Regions from separate parts of the Mus musculus genome. Here region 1 is reported to be linked to region 2. The links are microRNA targets in miRTarBase. Many come from high-throughput screens and were not tested one by one. Region 2 holds a microRNA gene; the other region holds the end of a gene's coding sequence.
The links. The annotated mature microRNA mmu-miR-23a-3p reads AUCACAUUGCCAGGGAUUUCC and lies in region 2 at 3,013-3,033, shown strand. An mRNA with a match to its seed (bases 2 to 7 or 8) in the 3' UTR can be bound and repressed. Matches are read on the target gene's strand: a 7mer-m8 pairs with bases 2 to 8, a 7mer-A1 pairs with bases 2 to 7 and ends in A, and an 8mer does both.

Region 1 (7,096 bases), not on the chromosome of region 2:
AGGACCAAATAAAAGCTTGCTCTCTCTCTCTCTCTCTCTCTCTCTCTCTCTCTCTCTCTCTCTCTTCCGTTCTTCCTTCCTTCCTTTCTCCCTTCCTTTCTTTCTCTTTTCTTTTCTTTTCTTTTCTTTTCTTTTCTTTTCTTTCTTTCTTTCTTTCTTTCTTTCTTTCTCTCACTCTCCCTCCCACCCTCCCTTTCCTTCCTTCCTTCCTTCCTTCCTACCTTCCTTCCTTCTTTCCTTCCAACACTGGCTGTCCTAGAACACACTATGTAGACCACCATGCTAGCCTTGAATTCTCAGAGATCTGCCTGCCTCTGCCTCACAAGTTCTAAGATTAAAGATGTGAGCTACCACACCCAGCATTCTTTCTTTCTCTCTCTCTCTCTTTCTCTCTTTCTTTTTCTCTTTTCCTTTTTTTTTCTTTCTTTCCTTTTCTTTCTTTTTCTTTTTCTTTTTTAGGCTGGCTCTTAATAAGCTGTTCACACTGGCTTTGAACTCACTTTATAGCTCAGACAGGCTTTGAACTTTTGTCTTCCTGCCTCAGCCTCCTGAGTCGCTGGGATTACAGGCCTGTGCCATCACAGAAGAAATCTAGATGCTACATCACACTTTTTCTCTACCACCAGGGATCGAACAAGAGTTTCCCTGAAGCCAGCATTGCCAAGAGATACCTTCTCTCAGCCTTGCTGGCATGGCCTGCTGTTCTCAACACTCTTCCGGGGTGGTTTGAGAACTGCTTAGGCTGTCGGGCTGCTCCTTACTCTCTCCCATGTCCCAACAGCCTTTTGTTTGGTTGGTTTGATTTTTCCAGTTAGGAGCCTGTGCTCTAGCACAAATTTAGTGAGGCACACTAAGATGAGTTCGAGCCACCACGCCTGTCTCTCACCTTGAGTGGGCTGCGTTTCAGCCCACCCCTTAGAGCCCTTGTGATTCGTAGGGTGTGTGTGCTAGGCTCTATGCTATGGGAATTCTGCCCCAGCCCCTTCCCACCTAGGTTGGGAGAGTGTGCCCTGGTGAGTGAGGGGCTGAAAAATGGCTGGTAAGAGGGTTGCGCTCAGTTTTGGGACCGATCTCGAACCCACACCTTTTGCTCACTAACCCACTGTCTGCGGGTCCAAGCTAATTCCTACTTCCTCCTCTCCCCAGAGACAAGAAGAGCAGCATCGACACCGACCCTCACCCTGGAGGGTCATGTACAATCTCTTCATGGGACTCCTCCCCTTACCCAGGGATCCTGGAGCCCCAGAAATGGAGCCCAACTAGGTGCCTACACCCGCCCGGGGGACGTCGGAGACTTGGGGGGCAGGACCCCCTCCGCCTTCTGACACCCTGGCCAGCGCGGGGGACTTTTTCTGCACCATGTAGCATACTGGACTGCCAGCCTTGCCCGTCCCAGGGGCAGGCAAGGGATGCCACTCGAGCCCGGGCAGCCTGGGTGCACTGATGGAGATACGGACTTGGGGGGACCCTGGCCTCCCGAAAGCCAGGGAAGGGAGGGCTGAAGGACTCATGGTGACTGAGGGGGTGGGGACCGAGCCGCCCGCCTCTGCCGCCCACCACCATCTCAGGAAAGGCTGCTGGTGCTGGCTGCCCGTTCCAGCTGCAGGGGGGACGCTGGGGGTGTCCCCAGTGCGCCTTCACTTTGGGCCTGGCCTCAGGCCCCTGGTGCTTCCCCCCCTCCTCCTGAGGAGGGGGTCTGTGAAGAGCATATGAGCCAAACCTGACCACTAGCCTCCTGGAGCCAGAGAATGGGGGGCGTGTGAAGGCCTTCTTAACCCAGTGCCCAGCCATCTTCCCTGAGCCGCCGGCGGGCGGTGAACGATGCCTGCCTCACCTTCATCTGGGGGTGTCCAGGAGGGGTCCAGACTGTGAATCCTGTGCTCTGCCCGGGACCACCCCCCCCCCCCCAATCCCCATCCATCTCATTGCATAGGTTTAGAGAGAGCACGTGTGACCACTGGCATTCATTTGGGGGGTGGGAGATATTGGCGGAAGCCACCCCAGCCTTAGTCCCCAGGGCAAAGCGCTGGGGAGGAAGATGGGGAGTCAGGGAGGGGGGAAGTCTCAGAAGAGGGAGGAGTCTGGGAGCGGGGAGGGACGGCCCAGCCTGTAAGATACTGTACATGCACTGCTGTAGATATACTGGAATGAATTTTCTGTACATGTTTGGTTAATTTTTTTTGTACATGATTTTTGTATGTTTCCTTTTCAATAAAATCAGATTGAACAGTGAACACTCTTTTTGTTAGCTTTACCAGTGACAGAGCATCTGGCACTACCTGTAAGGACATGAAAGAAACGGTGTGTGTGTGTATGTGTGTGTGTGTGTGTGTGTGTGTGTGTGAGAAATGGCTCAGTGGTTAAGAGCACTGACTGCTCTTCCAGAGGTCCTGAGTTCAAATCCCAGCAACCACATGGTGGCTCACAACCATCATAATGAGATCAGACACCCTCTTCTGGAGTGTCTGAAGGCAGCTACAGTGTACTTACATATAACAATAAATAAATGTAAAAAAGAGAAAGAAAGAAAGAAACTGGAACTTTTGGACTCTTAAGGGGCAGTCATACTAAAAGGTAAGCTAGAGGCTGGTCTGGTGGCACAGGCCTGTCGTAGCTAGTTGGAAGGCCTGAGCAACTGAGACCCAGTCTCAGCAATGGGGAGGGGACAGGTGGAGGGGACAGGCGGAGCGCTGGCTCAGCAGGTAGAAGTATGGGCTGTTCTTCAAGAGGATCTGCATTTAGGTCCCAGCACCCATGCTGCAGCTCACACTCTGTAACTCAAGTTCCAGATCTGATACCTCCTGGCCTGCGGGTACCAGGCATGTGCACAGGGCCCATTCCATGCGGACAAGGAAACCCAAAACCCCAAAAACACATATGCACATAAAATAGGTAAATGTGCCAGGGAGGTGGCTCAACTGTGAAGAGCACCAGCCGTTCTTCCAGAGGTCCTGAGTTCAATTCCCAGCTACCACATGGTGGCTCACAACTATGTATAATGTTATCCAATGCCCTCTTCTGGCCTGCAGGCTTTCATATAGATACAAACTTCATATACAATTAATTTAAAAATAAAGCCGGGCGTGGTAACACACACCTTTAATCCCAGCACTTGGGAGGCAGAGGCAGGTGGATCTATGAGTTTGAGGCCAGCCTGGTCTACAGAGTGAGTTCCAGGACAGCCAGGGCTACACAGAGAAACCCTGTCTCAAACAAACAAACAAACAAACAAAAAAACAGTAGAAAGACTGGGAGCATTGCTCAGTGGTAGAGCCCCTGCCTAGTAGGATATGGAGGTGTGGCTCAACTGAGCACAAAGTCCTGGGTTCAGTTACTTATACCAAGAGAAAAAAGGAAGGCGGGATGAAAGAGGCACAGAAGTTGTAGCTACACAGAGCTGGCAGCCACTGCTGTAGTCTTGAGAGCAAGCACACACAGGGACTAATACTTCATGTGTACTTATTTCATCAGGTATGAAGAGTGTAACTAAGCTTAAGATTTACTGTACGAACGAACGAATAGCTTATAGTTTAGAAGCCACTGTTTCAAGAGCTTGAGTTACAGATTGTGAGCTCTGTCCTGAATGACATGGGGTCTAGCCTGGCCCTGTGACCAGCCTCAGGTTGCTCTCTGGCTGGAAAGGGACCTGGAGCTAAGATCAGAACTAGACATTCCTTGCACCATTGTCCTAAGGCCAGGCACATGGCCAGCTCTCGATGCTGAGCACAGCCTCAGAACCCACTTTGCATTATTTTGAGAAAGGAGAGTTTTTCCTACTAACTGACTGAGAATTGGCAGTCCTTGAACCCACTCAAGTGCCAGCTTTGTAATGACTTCAGGGAGAGGCAGATATGTAGTATATCCCTTCCTGGTGGCCAGTGACAGTAAAAAGCAATTTAGGGGAAGTGGATCTTCTAGAGGGCTGTGGGCATAGAGGAGAGGAATCTGATGAAGCCATATCCACTGCCCTCCTGAGCATCTCCACGAGAAGAACATATATGTGTTCAAGAGTCCAAGTGTACTGTGCACACAGCAGTTCTCAAAAGTGCCAAGTCGACGGGCAGTGGTGGCGTACACCTTTGATCCCAGCACTTGGGAGGCAAAGGCAGGCAGATTTCTGAGTTTGAGGCCAGCCTGGTCTACAAAGTGAGTTCCAGGACAGCCAGGGCTATAAGGGAAACCCTGTCTCAAAAAAACAAAAACAAAAACAAAAACAAAACAAAACAAAACAAAACAAAAAAAAAGTGCCAAGTCTGGGGTGTGATGTGGTAGCACACACCTTTAATCCCAGCACTCAGGAGGCAGAGGCAGGCAGATCTCCGAGTATGGCTACAGAGAGAAACTTTGTGGGTGGGGGGAAGTGCCAAGACTAATTAATTGCCACCAGGCATGAGAACCTAACTTCAGCCCCCAGACTCATATTATAGAAGGAGAGAACTATTCTCTACAAGTTGTCCTCTGACCTCCATCCACAGAAGCACTGTGTCTCTAAAACTATTGATTCCTTTAATATTTTTAATATCTTTAATAAGATTTAACTGATTAATTTTCATAAGTATTGTATGGGCCAGATTGCTAACACCTGTCTGAAATTCCAGTACTTGGGGAATGGCGGGGGGGTGGGGGGTGGCGGCGGCAGGAGGATCAGGAGTCCAAGGGCAGTCCAGGGATGGGTGAGACCTTATATTAGGCAATTTCTTGTTGCTGCTACCAAAATATTTGCTAACAAGCAGCGTTGTTGTTGGTGACTGGAGAGACGGCCAGGTGCTTCACAGTACTCCTGGTTTTTGGAGAAGGCTTAGGTTGAGTTCCCAGCACTTGCAGGGCAGCTGATAACATCCGCTCCAGGGGAACTGATGTCTTCTTCTGGCTTTTCTGTGCACTAGACACACATGGTGCCCAGACAAACCTACAGTGGACAAAACATGGAGATACAAAAAATGAATTTTGCCGGGCATGGTGGCACACGCCTTTAATCCCAGCACTCGGGAGGCAGAGGCAGGCAGATTTCTGAGTTCGAGGCCAGCCTGGTCTACAAAGTGAGTTCCAGGACAGCCAGGGCTACACAGAGAAACCCTGTCTCAAAAAAAAAAGAGAGAGAGAGAGAGAAAGAAAGAAAGAGAGAGAGGCAGAGAGAGAGAGAAAGAAAGAAAGAAAAGAAAGGAAGGAAGGAAGGAAGGAAGGAAGGAAGGAAGGAAGGAAGGAAGAGTTTTAGCCTGAGCTGTAAGATAGCGAGGGTAAAGTCTTTTCCCCTGCCTTCCACTGGCTCATTTACATTTTGCTTGGTGCCTTGGTGACTGTGCAGGTATGCCTGCTTTGAGACAGGATTTTCTCATGGAGCTCTGGCGATCTGCCCTCATCATCAATCTTGGTTACAGGCACAGGCAGCCACACCCAGCCTTTCACATGGGATCCAGGGATTCAAACTCAGGCTTGAGTTTTACCCACACAGAGCCAACTTCCTGGTCTTATTCATGTTTTATGGGGCAACCATAAAACCCATGGCAGGCAAGTGCTAAGTCACTAAGCTATACCCCAACTCTCCCTTCAGCATTTTAAGTAGTTTTACAGACGCTTGCCCTCTCTTTTTTGCTTTTGAGACAAGTTTCGATTAGCCCAAGATGGCCTTGAACACCCAATCCCCAATCTTCCTGCTTCCCCTCCTCAGCATTGGCAATGGATCCCAGGGCTTTGTGCATGCCAGCCACACGCCAGCCTCTCAACTCGCCATTAAGGGTCAAGCCCATCCTGTTGACTGGAGGAGGCAGCCCTGGACATTTGATTGCTTGTCTGGCTGCTCACAGCTCTAGCAGCACAAGAGCAGAAAGATCAGGCTAGAAGCAGGGAATAGGGACCCCTCAGAGCACCCTGCCCAGAAACACAGCGCATCCACCAGCCACACTTTTACAGTGCCAAAGACAGTGCCACCAAGGAGCAAACGTCCACAGACAGAAACCTGTGGAGAATCCATTCAAACCAATACATGTGCATGCATGTGTGTGCGCATGCTCACTACACACATAGGGGCATATGTGCACACATACATACACACACATACATATATGTATACATGCATACCAACTTGGAACATGATTTCCCTCTGGAGCCCAGACTGGCTTCCGACTTACTATATCCACACTAACTTAGTCTTCCATTTTCGGTTTGTTTGTTTTCCAAAACAGGGTTTCTCGGTTTCTCTGTGTAGCCCTGGCTGTTCTGAAACTCACGCTGTAGACCAGGCTGGCCTCGAACTCAGAAATTCACCTGCCTCTGCCTCCCCGAGTGCTGGGATTAAAGGCGTGCGTCACCACGCCCGGCTAGGGTTTCTTGATATAGCCCCGGAACTCATTTTTTTTAAAAAGATTTATTATTATTATATCTAAGTACACTGTAGTTGTCTTCAGATGCACCAGAAGAGGGCGTCAGATCTCATTACAGATGGTTGTGAGCCACCATGTGGTTGCTGGGATTTGAACTCCGGACCTTCAGAAGAGCAGTCAGTGCTCTTACCCACTGAGCCATCTCTCCAGCCCCCTGGAACTCATTTTTTAGGCCAGGCTGGATTTATAGATTCATCTGCCTCTGCCTTCTAAGTGCTGGGATTAAAAGTGTGCTCCACCCTCCCTCAGTCCTCCATTTTCTGCCTGAGTCTGAGTACTAGGTTCATAGGTTTGAGCCAACACATTTGCCTCTTAGTTAGCTTTATAATTTGAATAATTTGTGGGTGGGCAGTAAAGTTCTGGTTATATAGCATGAAGCCTTGTGTACCATAGTTCAGACCTTGAGATCATTTCTCACAAGAGGTTATGAAGTTTTTAACACAGTGTATGTATACTTCATGTATATATTGGTGTGTATATGCATGTGTCTGTGTCTATATGTATATGTACCTATGTCTGTATATGTATGTATGTATCTTTGAGTGTGTGTGTGTGTGTGTGTGTGTGTGTGTGTGTGTGTAGGACAGAGAACAACTTGTGAAATTCAGGGTTTGTATTTTACCGCATGGGTCCTAGGGAACAAACTCCAGGAAGCTCCTGTACCCGCTGAGTCACCTTGCTCAACCTTTTCAATCTTTCAAACTTTTTGGGGGGCT
Region 2 (7,120 bases):
AACCCCCGGAAGAGCAGCAAGTGCTGAGCCATCTCTAGCCCTTTCTTTTTGAGACACACCATGTCTTGGTAGCCCAGGCTGGCTTCTAAATTGAGATCTTTTTACCCCTGTCCTAGATATAGGGATTACACGTCTGCAGTCTGCTGTCATGTCACATCATCTCGAGCTCTGAAATGATTCATTTTTGCTTTCTTGCAGACAGAGACTTTGCCACAGAGCACGTGTGTTCTTTGCCCATAGTCAGCCAGCAAAGAAGCTGCATAGCTCACATGCAGGCTGACGAGCTCCAGAACTGAGTGTCCCGTAGCCAAAACCCTTTCCTTCCCTTTCCTCCCCCTCCCCCTTTAAAAAGGGCCTCATATGTAGACCAGGCTGGCCTCAAACTCATATATATCTTCCTGCTTCTGTCTCTTCCTAGCTGGGATCACAGGTATGCACCACTGTAGGGCTTATATAAGACCTGGCCCTGGTGCATGGCATGAAAATTCTACTCTCCTCCCTTTTGTGTGTGTGTGTGTGTGTGTGTGTGTGTGTGTGTGTGTACAGAGTGCAATGTCAAGTGTAGTTTCTCAGGATTGTGTGTGTCTGATGTCCTAAAAGGTGGGAGACATAGAATCTCCTGTAACTGGAGTTACAGATGGTTGTGAGCCACTGTGTAGGTGCAGGGAACTCAACCCAGGTCCTCTGAAAGAGCAACAAATGCTCTTAACCACTGAGCCATCTCTCTAGCTCCAACCTTGTTTTCTCAGAGAAGGTGTCTTACTGGGACATGGAGCTGGTGAGGCGGGCTGGTGGTGAGCCCTAGAGCATCTTGTGGCTTCCCTTCCCCAGCTCTGGAATTACAAGTGTGAATTGCCATACCTGGGGACAACACAAGCCCTTTTGCTTACATGGTGACCACTTTATTGATTGACCTATCACTGAAGACCCTGATGTTTTTTTTTTTTTTTTTAAGATTTATTTATTTATTATATGTAAGTACACTGTAGCTGTCTTCAGACACTCCAGAAGAGGGAGTCAGATCTCGTTACAGATGGTTTTGAGCCACCATGTGGTTGCTGGGATTTGAACTCCGGACCTTCGGAAGAGCAGTCGGGTGCTCTTACCAACTGAGCCATCTCACCAGCCCGACCCTGATGTTTTATAAAGAAGACGTGTGTGTGTGTGTGTGTGTGTGTGTGTGTGTGTGTGTGTGTGTGTTGTCTGGTCTTTGTGCATGACAGTGCAGTACACTCAGAGACCAGAAGAGGGAGTGAAATCCCCAGAAGCTGGAGTTACAGGTAGTTGTGACAGGTGCTGAGATCCAAACTCGGGCCCTCTGCAAGAGCAGTAGCCACTCTTAACCACTGAGTCAGCTCTTTATCTGAAACAAGGTCACTTGTGTCACTATGTAGCCCTGGATGGTCTGAAACTCCCTACACAGACCAAGCTGGCCTTGAACTCTTAGAGATAGTACTGTCCAAGGCCTGGTTCTTGCTTTCCTTTGCCTTTCAAGTGCTGGGACTAACAGTGTGCACCACCATTCTTAAGTTTATTTTTATTGTCTGTTTGTGAATGTTTGCTTACGCGTACGTCTGTGCACCATATGTATGCCTGGTACCCACAGGGGCCAGTGGGGAGCGTTGGAGCTCTTGGGAATGGAGCTATAGATAGCTGTGCTTGTCATGTAGGTTCTGGGAAAGAAACCTGTCATCTCTCCAACATTGAAATTCTTTAAACAATTTTTAAAAATTGTGTGTGTGTGTTCCCAAGTGCAGAGATCAGAGGACAACTTGCAAGGGTCCGTATGCTTTTCTTCTTCGTGGTTCTTGGGTTTGAGCTCAGGGCATTGGGCTCCATAGCAGCTCTGCTCACTTGCTGGATCAGCTTGCTGGCCCCTGAAAACTTTAACTGGCACGCAGGACACTACTCTACATTGGGTAGGCCCCAAATTTTGTGGCTTGCCCTGGTACTGGGTGCTAAATACCTTCTCTGTAAGTTTTCACTGGCCTTCCTAGTAGAAGGTTTGGGGTTTTGTTGTTTTATTTTTGTTTTTCTTCTATTTAAGACTAGGGTCTCAAACTGTAGCCCAGTTAGGCCTAAAACTCATCATGTAGCTTAAGCAGGCTTTTGACTCCATTCTTGGCAACCTTCCTGCCTCAGTTTCCTCAATGCTGAGATAAACGTGAGCCACCAACTGCAACTGTTGTAGTCTGCTTTACAGATGGGGAAACTGAGGCTTGGAAGGCCTAGGGGAAACTTTACTGAGGTGTTATTGTTGGGGTGCATCGGCCTGCTTCTCCTTGCTTGGGCCCTAGGTGGTGTGGGGTGGGGGTGGGGTTATGTCTGAGCTGGCTGGGGAGGAGAGGGCTGAGGTGGGAGGCCCTGGAGTTTCCTCCTGCCCTTCAGGCTTCTAGGAAGTGGCGCCAGCTGGGGTGAGGTCACTTCCTCCCTCCAACCGTCCACCTCCCTCAGCTTCCTCTCCATGGCCCCATTTGGCCTGCTTTGGGCTCAGGGCTGTGGGTGGGGATAGAAGCAGAGTGGGAAGCAGCTGGGAAGGCTCTGCAGCCCCTTTGGCCTTAGGGCTTCAGGCACCTCCCGCTTTGTAGGGCTGGGGTAGAGGCACTGCTGGGTGCCCAGCATCCAGCAGCCTCGCTCCAACCTTCCTACGGATCGATGCTCCTCTTTTTTGGGAATGCTTCTTCCCTCTTGGAAGTAGAGGAGGGCTAGGGTGTGGATCAGCAAGCTGAGTTTAGATTCTGTCCCCAGCACCACTTAAACTGTGTGTGGTGAGGTGTACCTATAATCCTAGACTCCAGAGGTAGAGGCAGGAAGAACTGGTGCATTCGGAAACCTTGTGTTCAGCTATGTGAGACCCAGCCTGGTCAAGATAGGCAGGCAAGCAAGAATGCTCCAATCTCACTGTCTCTTCTTTCTCTCTTTAGGTGCTACACTCCGCTCCCACCTGCTGCCCCCCTCACTGTGCCTCGGACGGCTGGGGTTCCTGGGGATGGGATTTGATGCCAGTCACAAATCACATTGCCAGGGATTTCCAACTGACCCTGTGCTCTGCCTTGGGGGCTCCTGTCGCCAAGGATGTCTGTCTTGGGTACTGGGTAACAGAGAAGCCTATCATGACAACTGGCCTGAGGAGCAGGGCTTAGCTGCTTGTGAGCAAGGTCCACAGCAAAGTCGTGTTCACAGTGGCTAAGTTCCGCCCCCTGGACCCCATCTCCTCAGGCCGCTGCTGCCCACCCTGCTCTGCCTCCTGGCTGGCAGGGCTCTGCCTCTCTCCGGGCTCCGCCTCCCGTGCCTACTGAGCTGAAACAGTTGATTCCAGTGCACTGGCTCAGTTCAGCAGGAACAGGAGTCCAGCCCCCTAGGAGCTGGCAACCCTGCAGAATGTCTGCCGTGAGCAAGACCTGGAAACAATGGGGTAATTAGTCCAACCTAAGCCCCGTTGTCTGCTGGAGGCTCAGCCTCTAAGCCTGCATCTGGGTGTCCACCTTGAGATTTCTGTGGTTCCCCAAAGCAGATAGATGGGCGGGTAACCCTTGCATTAAAAGCCAGTTATGTCCCCTCAGGGCCTGGAAGCCCTTCTTTTCCTAAGTCTGGTGGGGCTCAGGCACCACCCCTTATACATACCATCTTTGAAGTCAGTTACCCAAGAGGAAGCTGCTTTAGGCCCTCTAACGGTTAAATGCCAACTCTCTGCTTCCGGAAGAAGGCACTGACCTGATCCAGTGTGCCTAGCAATCCCATGGGGTCTGCAGCTTTCTGCTGGTGACAGCGAGGCAGGGAGCGAGGTCCACACAGGCCTCAGGATATGAACAGATCCATGCCCCCCCCCCCCATTGGCCTGTTGAAGTAATCTCCAGGCTTGGAAGTTAAAAAGTTGCCTACTACCCACAAATGAGACTGCATGCAGACTAATTGGAACTGGCTGAGTTACACTTCCCAGACCATACAGTGTCCTCTCCCTACTCTGGGCAGGGGCAAATCGAAGCCTGGGTGGAAGAACAGAGTTGAAAGCTTGTATTGAATGTTGTTCTCCAACTAAATAAAAGCTCCACAGCCTCATTCCGTAAGGGCTGACGTCTCTTCATTCCCGCCTCCCACATGTGTGTTGCTGGCTTTTTTCATTTCTCTTGAAACAGCATTTCTGTGTAGACCAGGCTGACCTTGAATCAAACTCCTCCAGTGTCTGGAGTTTGGGAATACCAGCTGCACCACTATATCTACCACACCCTGGGCTCCTAACCTGCATTGCACCTATCCCCAACCTTGCTCCACCTGCTTCTAGGAAGGTGTAAATATAGTTCTGTGGTCAGTAGGTGCTGCGACCTGAAGATCCTGGGATCCTTTGGGGATGGCTTGAACGGGAGGGATAACCCAGACCTGGGGTGTATGAGACCAATCTGTGGTCACCCCAGTTCCATGAGGGAGTATGTTACAAGAATGTACTCTGCCTATGCTGGGATGCACTGACTGGCAAGATGCCAGGGCTTAAGGACGGGCACATATGCGCGCACAGACAGACACGCGCGCATGCACACACACACACACACACACACACACAGGGCTTAAGGACGGGCACATATGCGAGCACAGACAGACACGCGCGCATGCACACACACACGCACGCGCGCGCGCCCGTCTACACACACACACACACACACACACACACACACACACACGCACGCACGCACGCACGCGCGCGCGCCCGTCTGCGCCAGAAGGGCTAAGGGGCGGATCGCCTCTGATCGGCTCCCTGGAGCAAAGGAACGCACCATGAACTATGGCCACACTCATAGTCACAGCCAGCTCCCATAGTGCCCCACAGAGGCAACACACACACACACACAGCTTCCAAGAGAACGGTCCTAAACAATGACCCTGTCAGACACAGCTAAGGACATAAAGAACCGGAGAATGAGAAGAATGCCCAGGCCGTCCGCTGGATGAATCCATCTAAGAACGGGAGTCTCATCCACAGCCCAAAAATGCAATGGGCAGGTCACTGGGGACACAGGCGTCCCCAGCTGCCCTCCGCACCTGGTGAGACCTCCGGAGCTCCGAATGACGTTGTCTGGAGCCAGACGCCCCCTGGTGGTCATTTCCTGCAATGAAGGACAGTGCAATCTGGGTGCATTTTCCAAAAACCTACAGACTCTAGGTTTGGGCGTTTTAAGCCTCCTGACTTGCAGAGATTATGACATGCAGATGGAAAAGCAGTAAAGCCACCAGCAAGAGGTGGCTCTTCGTGTCACCACGATGCCATGAAGAAACCAGCAGCCTCTCCTGTCCCATTCAAGTTGTGCCCAAAAACCGAGATGGAAAATTTTTTGGTTAATTGAGCAGGTGGTAGGTACCCCTGGCCCCGGGTGTTTGTGTTAGCAATGCAACCCAGTCTTGAAGTTAAAAAGAAGTTGTGTTCAATCTTTTTTTTAAAAAAAAAGGAAAAAAAAAGGAAAAGAATACAGTATGGGGTTCAATAAATAAGAAAAAAAGTTACAAAATGATGCCAACTTTTTCCTTAATATACAAGAGAGAAGACAGGTGCGTCTGGGGTGGAGGCTCTCCCTTCTCTTCCTCCCTGGGCCAAGGCCTGGGATACAGGAAGGCCTGTCAGCAGCTGGGACTTGAGAGAGATGCAGACATGGGGAAACTAAGGGAGTGGGGAAACAAATGGAGGTGCAGAGCAAGAGGAAGACAGAACGGGGTCCCTGGCTGTCTGCCTGTGCCTCCCACAACAGGCTGGAGGGCAGCCTGACTCCTGAGTTGTGTATCCAGTTACTAGTGGTGGGGTCTGGCCAGCAGAGAGCTGTCCCCAGCCTACCCTGTGACCTTGGTGCCCAAGAGAAGACAGGCCCTGGCTTGACAAGGGTATTTGGGGGTGAGGTATGTGGCAGAGGCCCAAGACCTCTTAATATCCTTCAGTGGGGTGAGGCATTTGTGCTGGAAAGCTGGGGCTGGGGGCGCAGGGCAGTGGGACAGGAGCCCTGAGCTGTGGAGAGGGGAGAAACACAGTGGGAAGTAACTACCCTGATGTGAAGTGCCTAGGCTCCGGCCAGCTCCGGCTCTGGAGCATCTGCTGCACTGAGTTGGAGGCCTAACTTCACTCTGGCCCAGCCCTTCTCCTGGAAGTCCCAGCTGACCCTGGGAGTCTGGAAGAGCCAGAGCTTGCTTCTTCCGTGTGAGGTGCCCAGGCACATACTCCCTGCAGGGTCTAGTTAGCAGTATGGCTTCGGATCCTCAGATCGCATGTCCCGTTTGTCTGCACACTCCTAGGCACACACCTGGAATGATGTCACCCTCTGCCTCCCACCTCTGTAACTTTACTGCAAGTAGCCATGGGCCTCCTGTTTGAGGAAGGTGGGCCTGGGACACCCATGCTCCCGGCTTTCTGCAGTTCCTCAGCCAAACCGTTCCCGAACCAACAGCATCAACTTCTTCTTTCCCTTGTACGTCTGTTTCAGGTTTTCTAAGAACTGTGCGAACTGGAGGTGCCCGTCTGGTGCCAGAAGGAAGGTCTCTCGAGCTTTGCCCAGGAACTCAATGAAGTCACCATAGTGGCGTGGGCTAATGTGGGTGAGGCGAGAGTGGCTGGTGGTTATGTACGCGGCTACTGCGGCATCCAGAAGCTGACAAAGTGGTGCCCTGTCAGTCCCTAGTGGTTTGGTAGCCCTGCGGGCCCCCAGTGGGCCCAGCCCGGGTGCTGAGAGTGTCCAGCGTCGCAGGATGTCTGAGAGCATGGGTGCACAGTGGATGCTTCGGATGATGAGAGGGACAATGGCCGACAATTCGTGCCGCCCCAGCGAGTGGCTGAGGGAGCAGGCCCACAGCACATCGTTGACTGCAGGGTGGCTGTCTTGGTTGAAGGCAATGCTGAGTTGTGCCAAGGCTAGCGTGGCCAGCTTGTAGGCCCGCAGAGGCAGGCCTCGATGCTCCATATACCGTGCAACCGTGAAGAGGTGGGCGTGGCCGAGGCCACCGGCTGCAGCGTCCAGCACAATCTGGTAGGCAGCCTCAAAGGCCGCGTGGTTCTTCTCACACAGGGTCAGGGCTGGCAAGGCGCAGTTCTGGGGATCCTTCATGGCGCACTGCAGTGCCAAGGTGCGGGCACAAGCCCAGAGCTCCT

Region 1: the mRNA of Bbc3 is a reported target of mmu-miR-23a-3p. The part of its 3' UTR that is shown has no 7-base or 8-base seed match.

The regions. Positions count from the first base shown.
Region 1 is chr7:16,315,972-16,323,067 of GRCm38, forward strand. Bbc3 (BCL2 binding component 3) reads left to right here. Exons shown (of 4, transcript NM_133234.2): 4 at 1,147-2,363. The coding sequence ends at 1,263. It also overlaps a transcript of Sae1 not described here. Among named protein-coding and RNA genes, the nearest start is that of Bbc3, 9.9 kb to the left of the region's middle.
Region 2 is chr8:84,205,551-84,212,670 of GRCm38, forward strand. It overlaps Mir23a (microRNA 23a), which reads left to right and starts at 2,968; the gene lies at 2,968-3,042. It overlaps Zswim4 (zinc finger SWIM-type containing 4), which reads right to left. Exons shown (of 14, transcript NM_172503.3): 14 at 5,392-7,120. The coding sequence ends at 6,396. Mir27a (microRNA 27a) reads left to right here and starts at 3,122; the gene lies at 3,122-3,208. It overlaps Mir24-2 (microRNA 24-2), which reads left to right and starts at 3,265; the gene lies at 3,265-3,371. It also overlaps Mir3074-2.